3 linked regions of the Daphnia pulex genome follow. The protein of the gene in region 3 purifies or fractionates together with the protein of the main gene of each other region. This does not show direct contact. Links are inferred from orthologs where the notes say so. Each region holds a gene or a part of one and is shown on either strand. Other genes may lie near its edges. The genes, in order: serine/threonine-protein phosphatase 6 catalytic subunit-like, hsp90 co-chaperone Cdc37-like and aurora kinase-like.

Region 1 (3,694 bases), on a different chromosome or scaffold from region 3:
TGGCGAGAAGCTGCTGGCGTCGACTCGTGAGGACTAAAGTAAAATAGCCTCCAGCCATGCCGAGGTGAAAAATGAGAGAGAAGAAAGGTGAAAAATGGGAGGGAGAGGGGGCGATCTCTTTCAAGGAGGATTTACTGCCCCAGGCGATCTCGATTCGTCCGATTGTTTAGCAGTTTTTTTTTTTTTTATGTGTAACAACAGTGCTCTCTTATCAAACAATGGTAAAAGTCGTCTCACAATCACAATCTTTTTGTAAGGAAAAAAACAAAAAATGAAGTAATAAATTCCCGGAGTGGGCGGATCACATTTTTTGAATTGACAAATATAGCTACTCCAACGCCATCTAGCAACCTTTTTACTGACTTGGTAAATTTTAAGTTGGGAAATCTTTTCAACTTTTCAATTTTGCCTGGCGAGAAAAAAATGGAATTTTGTACAAAACTGACACTGAAAAGTAAAGGAAACTTTTTTGTCGTCTCTCAATGTGCCAGACACAATAGGACAGCAGCAAAACAGCATTTATTGACTTTAAGGAGGATTGAACTGATTTTACATGTGTTTATTTATTATCAAAGAATGCAGAGCAGTTGGAGAAATTTCGGGCTATGTTTTTAAAACTCACAGGAAGTAGGGCGTCGTTGTGTATGGTGGGATAACACGCTCACTGTCGGGAACAGCGTTGAATAGTTTAGGCTTACGAGACTTGTCTTCGTTCAACGCCAAGATACCAGCCACGTTACCACAGCGGTAGCAGTAGTTTGGCGCTGACCAAACAGTCACCAGCTTGTCGTCGAACATGAATTTGTAGCCTTCGTGAACCAATTGGTGAGCACGACAGATCAGCTCTAATCCGTTGAGATGCATAAACTCATGGGTGACTCGAGAGCCGAAAAGCCAGCCGGCACCTCGAGGGCTAATTGTCCAAGTTTCCACATCCTCAGGATCAGACCACACTAGGTCACAAAACGCTCCTTTGTGCGGAATCTCCTGATTTCTTTCGATTGTGCGGATCTGATCAAGCGTCCGAATAGAAGGGGAAAGGCCGCCATGCACGCACAACACTTCACCATCAATTAACTATAATGAAGAAGCCAATAGAAAAAAAAATTAATAGAAAAATAAGCAAATTAATATTAATAAAAGATTGCACCAAAGTGGGCTATTTACCGCAGCAACAGTGAGTAAATCAAATAACTGGCAACAATATCTCCATGCATTTGCATTTCCATATTTGTTCTGACATTCATCTAGAGCCAAATGTTAGCAATCATTAAAGATGAAATGAGTCTCAAAAATAATTTGTGGTACCATAAAAGCCATAGACTTGAGTGATTTGTCTGGATTCATGGTTTCCTCTCAATAGTGTGATCCTGTCCGGGTATTTGGCTTTTAATGTAAGCAACCGTGTGAGGGTTTCCAAACTATAGTATCCCCGGTCAACAAAATCTCCAAGGAAAACATAGTTTGTGTCTGGTACTTGTCCACCAGTTCGGAAGAGCTCTTCCAGGTCATAAAACTGCAAAAATAATTACTTACAAAGGATTTATCCATATAAATTGAAATATTTAAAAAAAAAAATACCTGGCCATGAATATCTCCACAGACAGTAACTGGAGTTGAAACATAGTGTACATTTGATTCTTCCAGCAACAAGTCACAAACCAATTCACAAAGTTTCTGAAGATAAGAAGAAAAAAATGATTAAAGAATAATTTCTTGACATGAACCATACTGACAGCTTAAAGTCCTCGCTTAGGAACAACCAAATGTAAGTGAAATCACATTTTTAAGTGTTTCACAAGTTTTATTGCATATAAATCGTTTTGAAATACTGACGACAAAACCATGACAAAACTTCTTATGTAAGGTGTCGATTGGCAGGAGAAAAGACGCGTATTACAGAAGTTCTACCACGGTTTTCACGTCCTTAATTGAAGCACTATTAAAAACTGTCAGCATGTTATCTGTCAACTCACCTTCATTTCATTTTCAGGTAGGTATTTACATTCGCGGGCTATATCTATCCATCTGTCTACATCTGCCACCATTTTTCTTCGTGACAGAACCAATTAATTGGAGAGAACTTTTCTTATAATTTCGAGTCGACTTTCTTCTAGGCCAAACATTTGACGTCCACTAAGAACTGTCGAAACTCGTCAGTAGCTGTCGCTCCTATTTTTCAGTTTCATCATGGCGTCTGCTATTCCCACATTTACAAAAATCGGCAAAGTTATTCGCTTAAATAAACATGGATGCACTAATCGACCTTTTTACCACATCGTCGTTCAAAAGGTAAAACAAAAAGGTTACATCTCACATATGAAAATATCCATTACTTTGAAAAAGAAACTATAAATACTATGTAAGAAATGATTGGATGGCACGTCTAAACTGTCGCGTTTTGGTTTCTCTTGAATTTATAGACGAGGGACAATTTTGACGGTCCAGTAATTGAACAGGTTGGCAGTTATGATGCCATGCCCAACAGCCAAAATGAAAAACTAGTCGCTGTTAATTTTGAAAGAGTTCAATACTGGCTTGCTCAAGGAGCGGGGATGAGTAATCCTGTTGCACAGGTGAAATTTTTAAATGCTAGGTATATTGATCTTCAATTTAAATGCTAATTAAACTATTCTATAGCTCCTTGGTCTCTCTGGATTTTTGCCTAATCATCCTCAAACTCTGATTCAGTCTTGGAAGAACAGACGAGAACCACCTAGAGAAAGAAAATTACAGCCTATCAAAGGAATTGCACCTCCTCTTGACAATCCCAAAATTTAGTTTGCTGTATTTTTCATTATATAGTCAGAATAAATCATTTTGTTAAAGTAATTTGTTGACTGGTATGTAGGAAATCATAAATTTTTTTAAAGCCCTTGCCAACTGGCTTTTTTTCCCCTCTCTTTTGTAGTAGACAAAGTAATTCAAATAGGATATTTGAAAATCAATTTTTGAAACTTTTATTTCACACAGTTTGTAAATTGTAGGGATTAGACATTTTTTGCATTAATCAGTTGAACACTCGAATTTTTTAAATTTTATCCATGATGTAATATTTAAGGATCCTTTGGAGTAGCGTTTACAACTTCGACTAAAAAAAGAAAAAATGACAAAGGTTGAGACTTGTCTACTGCAATAATAATTTCATTCGCCATTTATTACCTCAACATGAATTGCTAGTACTCCATCATCTTCAGCATTGCCGATACTGATCAAAGCCTTGCCATCAGAGCCCACTGTAACTGATTTGCCTGTGCACTGTCCGTTGACCAAGTTGCCTGAGATGATGTCGCAGTACGTTCCAGCCGAAAGACATGTCTATTAATTCGTAGTATATGATTATTTGTTTGTTGGAAATGTTTTGAATTGTTACAAAAATACCTGAAGAGTTTGGGACATGTTGGAGCCTTCGTTGTTGATGGCGATGAAACCTTTGCCACCGCGGCAGAAAGCAATTTCTATGGAATTCAGAAATAGGTAATTCATCTTATTTTTTCATTTTTTAAATTAAATTTTCTTACGGTTGTTTCCGTTATCCCACCAGTCGTTCATTGTAGTTCCTAAATGTAATCAACAAATATTAAATTTAAAATTTGATTAGAATTGTGTCGATTGCGTGCACTCAAATACGCGATGGATCCGGGATCCAATACCTGCAACAATGTTCCGGAACTTGGCCATATTGTAGATTTGA
Region 2 (3,833 bases), on a different chromosome or scaffold from region 3:
CTGGTCAAGTCGCTTCTGGCGATGAGCGTCGCAAAGAAAAAGATCGAGTTAAAGACAAGAACAAGGATCGCCGGGAACGTCGCGATCGTTACAAGGATAAGTAAGCAATCAAATTATCGAATTCAACTTCAGAATTTAATGAATAATTTTTCACAGGGAACGAGAGCGTAGGGACTATGTTCGGGAGGATGGTGAACAAGTGCGAGTGAAGGAAGAACCGCCTGATGGTATTGGAATTAGCTGTTAATGAAAAATATCTATTACTAATTTGTGGAATTGAAATTTGCAGATTATGACTATACGGCCCAACAATATGATGGCTATAATCAATATGATCCTGACAACATTAAATACGAAGTGGAAGAGTCGCAATTCCAGACTGAAGAATACTAGCGTATGTTTTTATAGCAGTAACTTGTCTGTTCTTAAGGCTTTTTAACTTTACAATTTTAAAGTGAGGTGAGTATGAAACTGGAGGTAAAAACGTCAAATACACGTTATTCAAAAGCCCCAGTGTATTAATTCATTATTAATGAATATAATAATCCAAACTAGTATTTTAATTTTCTGCAACATTTTCTGCAATATTTCCAGCAACATTTCCGTCGGGTACCCACAATCCGGAGTCAACACATCTTTTCATATGAAACCGTGCTTCTTCTTCAGGTAGTGTTGAAATTGCTTGTTGAAGAAGCTCAATGTTTTGTTTTTCAAAACAATCCTTAAGAACCTACACAACAAAACACATGATTCATATATGTGGAAGGAAATTTATGTGTCTTGCTCAATTATACCTCCGGTAAACTTTCAAATACTTCAACGGGATCCAACCCTCCAGGACCAAGTCGTTTTTTCTTTTCTTCCTCCTCAGCTTCGGCAATTGCAGCTTCTATTTTCTCTTTCGCCCGCCGTTGTATACGGTCTTTGAAAGCTACAAGTTCGTCTTCAAATCCTTTACGATACTCAACATCTGCGATTTGAATTCTAAAAGAGATAAAATAGTAAACAATTCATTTAGTTATAGCTACATAAAGGACAACTTAATATAAAGATAAACCTTGAAAAGAATGAAGACACACATGATCTTGGATCTCTGTTAAGGTGCCTGGATAATTCAAGAATGAATTGCATGCAAATGCACTGATGGGCAACATGTTCCATTAAACTTGTTTTCTCTTCCATTTCTAAATTAATACACCAAATCACGAGATAGTTTGCTGTTTCTTCACAAACCAGCTCTGGATTTTCTTGAAGGAAACGCTTACTATCATCATACTTTTGTAGCATTCCATATGCCTTAAGATTTTTCTCATGTTTCTTGAAAAATTCACGTGTTTTGATTTCTTTCTCCTCTTCAGTGAGCTCTTTCACTTTTTTGGGTTGGTCAACATTGACCACAGTTTTTGAAAATCCAGGTTGACTAATTGTATCTACATTCCTAAAAAAAATATGCAAAAAAACCACAATTAAACTTTGAAATTAGACATCACATTAGGATATATTGAAGTGAATCTTTTAAATACCATGGCATCAACTTTTCCTTTTTTTTCATTTGTTCTTCATGATCTTCGAGTTCAATTTTTTTCGATTCTAATTCACTCAATTGCTTTTTCAAATCTGTCACATCAATACCTTCTTTCATCACCTGTTCATACTTACTTTTAACTTCTTTTAGTTTGGCAGTGTTCCTTTGTTAGAAAAGTTTGATTTAATGTAAACTTTAACAAAAACATTAAAGCTAGTTATTTAGCATTACTCATTTTTTGCTTTGAGAAACAGAGCTTTTTCTTGTTCCATTTCCTTCATTTTTTCTAATCTAGCTTCGTGTCGCCATTTGAACAGAGAAGGCGTGTCAACGTTAGGATGTGTATCATCCTCATCGTCAGATATCTGTAAAGTATTATGAAGTACGTGAGTGTTTAAATGAAACATATAAATAACGAATACTTAATTACGATACTTAATTACGATTAAATACTATACTGACAATAAATAGAAGGTTAGAGAACCCGCAAAAATATGGTAAAATAACAACACAACATTTTTGAAGCAACAATTTACCTCGATATTTTTCCATTTGCTGTAGTCTACCATTTTATTCGCGATAAAGTTAAGAACTTAATGGAAAAGTGGAAAGTGACAGATTATCTAAACGCTAACACTACGAATCTACGATTGTAGACTCGACAGAGTGGTGGCAGAAAACTGAACCTTTGCCTAAGTGATAACTCCAAAGAGGTACACCCCTCTGGCGATGGGTGGAGCTTGTTCCTGAATGGACTAAAGCAACTTCGTCTCTACTAAGGCCATTTTAGCTAAAAAAAGGGGGGTTTTAGTTTTAGCCTTTAGGAAAAATGAACATTATTGACACATTACACACTATTTACATAATAAAACCCGGACAAAATCGTAGCGTGGGATCTTAAAGAAATGAACCATTAAACATTTATATACGGGAAATAGGGGTCTTAATTCAAAAAATTTATTCATTATAAACTGATACTTATTTTATTAATAAAAAATGTCGTGACGATTGCAATCGTTCGATCGTGCGATCACGACCACGGTAAATTTTTAGCGATCGCGATCCAAACTGAAAAACGCGACCGGGATCGGAATTGCAGGCCAGAAATCGCTCGATCAGATTTGCGATCGTCGCTATCTTTAATTAATAAAAAAACCCTTTTTTTAAATAGCACCACCAATAAATTATTGTTTTTATTTTTATATAAAAAATTATTGTTATACATTAAAGTTTATAAAGTTTCAGTGATTAAATGTATTTTTGCAAATTGCTTTGTGCTTTGTCTTGATTCTTGAAAACGTTGGTAATCATTTCCCCTTGCCATCTAGCGGCGATCGCAAAAAAGATCACGACCTTGACATGATGTTTGTTTCTGTTAATCGGGCCGGGCTCGCGGTAAAAAAAAAATATCGGCCACAACACTGTTGATAAAAATGTGTTACAAATTTTTTACATTTTCGTTAACATTTATTATTTTAAAATTAATTTAACAGCGCGACAAAATGTTCGAGGCTTCGAGCCGTGTTTAACACGGAGTTTATGGCGGTTACCATAAACTTAAAATAAATCATTAAAAGACAATTAAAGTAATTCGAATAATACTAAAAGTAATTTTTTGTGTAAACTAATAGCGCTTATTTGTGAATGACGGTTTTTGTGAGAAGTTGATTTTTTGCGTGCTAAACTTCTTTCTATATCTGTTGCTGTGACTTCACATGTTGCGTAGTCAGCATCGCGCAGTACTCTGTTTTCACCTGGGAGTAACTCCCTTTTGAGTCCTCCTTCAAATGCATTCTTTTTTTCCTTCGAATGTCGTTTCTTTTGAGAGTCATATCTTCATTTGTACTATGGAAAAAAGCATTCCGTTGTAGGCTTTAACAAATCATGTTTCTAAACGTGGGCGAAATTCTCTTACTCGTTCGTTAGCTTTTTGTTCAATTTCAGACAGTTCGTTCTTAAAAAATTGATTCTCAGATGGGTCCTTAAATGGTTCTATGATTAAATCTTTCCATTCATTGTATCCAGTAACGGGTTCTGGGTTTTCAGGTTGGCTAAATGTTCCTGGAATGACAGAGCTAATTTTTTGAATTGTTCAGAAAAATAACGTTTTATCTGTTCTTTAAAATCGACTCTCTCGAAATAGGGAATCTTTTCTCTGAGAGGTCTAGATGTTTTTTAGTCCTTCATCGGGTGAGTAGGGTTGGGACCGAAGCGTCTGTTGCGTTTTGGTACAAAATCACTAAGGTGTCAACCCTGACGCACGGCAACGTCCATGACGCGTCGTATGCAAAATCCCCAAGTCTTATCT
Region 3 (3,813 bases):
ATATATAATACTATGCTTTTTCCCATCTCAGTTGTGCTTTGAAGCATGTGGAGATATTTGTTTTTTCTCAACTATTTGAAGTATTATTCGTTAAATCAATTGTTTGATTGTTTAATATTTATCTGGTGTTGTGCCTACCGCGTAGTTTTGATGTGCTATAATAAAATAGATTCTTACTCATAATTTCTTACAAATCTAATCATTACTGCCAGTTAGAAAGAGATCCACGACTGATGCTCTATTGAAAATCTAGTTTTTGATTCATTGTAATAATTTCCACGGAACTTTCTGTTAGGGATTTGCTTTTTGCTTGAACTCATTCAATGAATAAAACTTACTTTCGTCGTTAGCAGCTATTTTATACATGCTTAAAAAATAAATGTAATTTTAAAATAATTGAATAAATTTCAATTGTGATTTTTTTCCATAAAGGATAATCCAAATTCTTTTTAAAATTAAATCCTTTAACATTTATTAGGATGATGTAACGGGAAACAAAATAGAGAACGAATAGCATGTAAAGGACGACTGGCGAACTTAGTATAAATTTGCATAATATTTGATGTAATAACGTGAATGATAAACTTAGCCATTAATAACTTACGTGCGAGCAGCATTTATGAAAAGTATTTATTGTATTACATAATTGAGAGAAGAGATAAAAGCAATCGGGAATGGAATTTACAAATTGAAATTTTACTTTAAAAATTTATGGTTAGATTGCCATTAAATATCAAAGTTTATGATTTGTTGGGTTGCATTATCTGGAAAGTCGGTAACCTGATGAAATACACACGTAATGCGTCACAATTATATTTGAAGACGAGTTTTAAATAAAATTATTTAAAAAAATCATACCTGGATCGAACTTCGTCGGAAAGGTGCTGTAGAATCCAGCTATGTTCAAGTAATTTTCGTAGAGGGATACGATCTTCTGCTCGTGGTTTGAGTAATTTAGCAATCAAGTCTTTCGCTCCAGTAGAGAGATGTGCTGGAAATTTTAAGTCAACTCTACCATACGAAATCATGGCATGGAAAATGAAAACGCTTAGAATGCCTCTTAACCACATTGGAAAATTATTCGAAAAAATTAATACTTGCAAATACGGTGGTAAGTGAGATCTTGCTTTTTCTCTTCAAAAGGAGGTGATCCCACTAAGAATTCGTAGCAAAGAATACCAAGAGTCCACAAATCTACACGTTCGTCGTGAGAGCGCCCTTCTATCATTTCGGGGGCTAAATAATCCAATGTCCCACACATGGTTTCACGCCTATTGAACAAAAACAATATAACATAAATAACTTCGATTTGTTTGGTTCTACACTAAACAATCATATTTTACTTTACCTAGACGAAGGAGCATGGACGGACCAACCAAAATCTGCTATTTTAATTTCTCCACGAATTCCTAGTAAAAGATTTTCTGGCTTAATATCTCGGTGGATTACTTTCCATTTATGACAGTATATCAATGCATCAGCTAGCTGAGCCATGTAATTGGCCGTCCTAAAAATAGGGGTAATTAATTTCCCACAGAACTTATGTTTCTGTTATTTTTAAAAATTTACTGTGGTTCAGAAAAACGGCCATTGGGTTGGCGTTTCAGGTACTTGTACATTTCTCCCTTTCCGGCGTATTCCAAGATGAGGTAAATACGAGTTTCATCATAAAAATATCCGTGCATGCGTAAAACATTGGGATGTCTACAGCAGAGTTGCAGAAAAGTTTTGATGTGCATTAGTGATATAAATTTTCCATAAAACATTGATCTCATTAGTATGTACTGTAAATGTGACTGGATTTCAATTTCACGTCTCAACTGGTGTTCCATATGACATTTTTGTAGTTGAGATTTAAACAAAATCTTCAGGGCTACAATGTATTTGGTATTGATTTCTCTAGCCAAGTACACATTTCCAAACTTCCCTTTACCAAGAGGACGGCCAATTTCAAAGTTATCAAGACTCCATCTGGGTTGAAACAAATAAGCAGAGAAACACACATCATTTGGGAAGATTAATGCCACAATAAAATATTTAAGTCAAGAAGATAAATTAGAAACACTTTGTTGGAAAACTGTTCTGAAAAACAAAAAATTATAACATACTTCTTCGAGTTTTCCAACTTAACAGTAGGTTGGTTTGAAGAGTTCTCTTTAAGTGGCTGTTTGGTTTCCATGTTATCTGTCAAATTTTTCAAAATCAAAACATGAAACATTTACAAAAACACAAAGTTCAAACTTACTTATTCGCAATGTAATGCAATTAAATGTGTTGTAATTTAATGTCTAAACTCTATAACCCTAAACCGTGGTCTTTCCAGGAGCCAGCCTACAATGATTGTATCATACTGTTATTGGCAAAAGGATTGTAGCTGGAAGCCTGGAATATGAGAGGGGGTTGGGGGGAGTCTAAAAAGTCACGTCTGGTCCGCCAGAGTGGCCGCGTCTAAGCGTGACAGGTTGCCAAAGTCGGCGTGAAATGCAAAAAAAAACCACTTTCTTTGTTAAGAAAAAACTTATGCGAGAGACAAAACTCTATGCCTTAAAAGAAAAATGTGTTTTTTTAATAATTAGCCTATTCTTCCTTTTTGCAACGCACAACAACAAAAAAACAAAAAGAGATAGCCTTCCAAAATGGTTAAATTTTTTACCGTTTGGCTTTGGTCAGCTTTTCTTAGTATTGAATTTATCAAAAAATGGGTGCTGTCCGATCTATCGTAACTACATCTTGGTGTCAATTTATAATCATATCTAATATTTCACTATGCTTTCGTGCTTGGGCTCTCTATTGGGTCCCAATCCTCTGATGCTAATATTCAAAAATTCGCAAAAACAAAAAACACAAATTCATTTTCTCCGGTTTAACATATTGATCAAATGCGTGTATTGTTTTTTCATTCTTTATTCAGTACCAAAAAAAGCGGCAAAAATACAACGTTCTATTACACTCCTAAACTGATTTTATTTCACTTTATGTAGGAATCAATCTGCCTGCCAATAAACGCGCGCGTTACACAATAGAATTTTTTAATTTCACTCCACCTTAAGAAAATGTGTTGTAGACTTGTAGGTATGGCAATAAATGCCTGATTTACGATTAAATTGATTCGATGAGATTTGATTGATTTCAGTTTAATATCTGAAAGACTGCCTAGCACATATTCATCGAAGGTTTACTTCAGCAATGTTAGATGATTTACAGGATTTACAAGTGCAAATGGAAACCAATACTAGTTATCCGATGTCCATCTCTACATATTCAATAAGCCTATAAAATCATATCAGACAGAAGAAGATTGCATTCAATTCATTTGAACACTAATTATAATTGACTTTTTGCATACCACTGACAATTAAAAGCATTTGGATGGTATGTGGATGGATTTTTATAGTTATGTAATTACCAAATGGCGTGGTATTAATTTCATAAGATAGAGAGAAGACGGAAAACTGGATAAAACAGTAAAATAATTGGAAACGAAACGTACTTAATTCAAGTTATATCGAGACATCAAGTGATATCAAGGACACAGTGCCCGAGGTATTGGAGAAGGTAGGGATCACACCTTCAGGGCTCCATTGTTCCTAGGAGCGTAATAAGCCAAGGTTGTCTCAGGTCAGGTATATAAACCGTGGCGTTCATTCCAATCATCAGCAGACTGCTCCATCTTCTCACTCAGTAAGCAGCAAGTCTCACGAAGGCAGCATTATGGGGTTTATTAAAGGTAAACTTTTAAAACTCAAATTTAGATTTTGTTTTGCGAGAATTGTTATTGATTAAATGCAGAATTATTTTACACGTTAAAATCTG

Evidence for each region.
Region 1: the proteins of aurora kinase-like (region 3) and serine/threonine-protein phosphatase 6 catalytic subunit-like purify together in Homo sapiens (affinity purification with mass spectrometry, with the first as the bait; 3 studies listed by BioGRID). This does not show direct contact. The link is inferred for Daphnia pulex from reciprocal best matches to the Homo sapiens genes AURKB and PPP6C.
Region 2: the proteins of aurora kinase-like (region 3) and hsp90 co-chaperone Cdc37-like purify together in Homo sapiens (affinity purification with mass spectrometry; 7 studies listed by BioGRID and IntAct, counting the BioPlex papers as one, with this or other methods). This does not show direct contact. The link is inferred for Daphnia pulex from reciprocal best matches to the Homo sapiens genes AURKB and CDC37.

Annotation. Positions count from the first base shown.
Region 1 is NC_060019.1:6,997,068-7,000,761, forward strand, and holds serine/threonine-protein phosphatase 6 catalytic subunit-like, read right to left. Parts: upstream 2,121-3,694; 5' UTR 2,049-2,120; coding exon 1,977-2,048; intron 1,678-1,976; coding exon 1,582-1,677; intron 1,517-1,581; coding exon 1,309-1,516; intron 1,248-1,308; coding exon 1,168-1,247; intron 1,078-1,167; coding exon 619-1,077; 3' UTR 503-618; downstream 1-502. Other genes in the region: probable 28S ribosomal protein S16, mitochondrial, read left to right, coding at 2,191-2,292, 2,424-2,576, 2,641-2,781; alpha-amylase 1-like, read right to left, coding at 3,080-3,091, 3,163-3,318, 3,382-3,458, 3,522-3,560, 3,654-3,694.
Region 2 is NC_060026.1:6,136,670-6,140,502, reverse strand, and holds hsp90 co-chaperone Cdc37-like, read right to left. Parts: upstream 2,221-3,833; 5' UTR 2,095-2,220; coding exon 2,062-2,094; intron 1,891-2,061; coding exon 1,757-1,890; intron 1,689-1,756; coding exon 1,524-1,688; intron 1,439-1,523; coding exon 1,058-1,438; intron 985-1,057; coding exon 795-984; intron 731-794; coding exon 560-730; 3' UTR 501-559; downstream 1-500. Other genes in the region: U1 small nuclear ribonucleoprotein 70 kDa-like, read left to right, coding at 1-100, 157-227, 290-393. UniProt on the Homo sapiens protein: Co-chaperone that binds to numerous kinases and promotes their interaction with the Hsp90 complex, resulting in stabilization and promotion of their activity. Inhibits HSP90AA1 ATPase activity.
Region 3 is NC_060024.1:9,277,503-9,281,315, reverse strand, and holds aurora kinase-like, read right to left. Parts: upstream 2,452-3,813; 5' UTR 2,246-2,451; intron 2,185-2,245; 5' UTR 2,180-2,184; coding exon 2,109-2,179; intron 1,972-2,108; coding exon 1,786-1,971; intron 1,705-1,785; coding exon 1,570-1,704; intron 1,508-1,569; coding exon 1,349-1,507; intron 1,272-1,348; coding exon 1,098-1,271; intron 1,012-1,097; coding exon 859-1,011; intron 781-858; coding exon 741-780; 3' UTR 616-740; downstream 1-615. Other genes in the region: uncharacterized protein LOC124200621, read left to right, coding at 3,712-3,727. UniProt on the Homo sapiens protein: Serine/threonine-protein kinase component of the chromosomal passenger complex (CPC), a complex that acts as a key regulator of mitosis.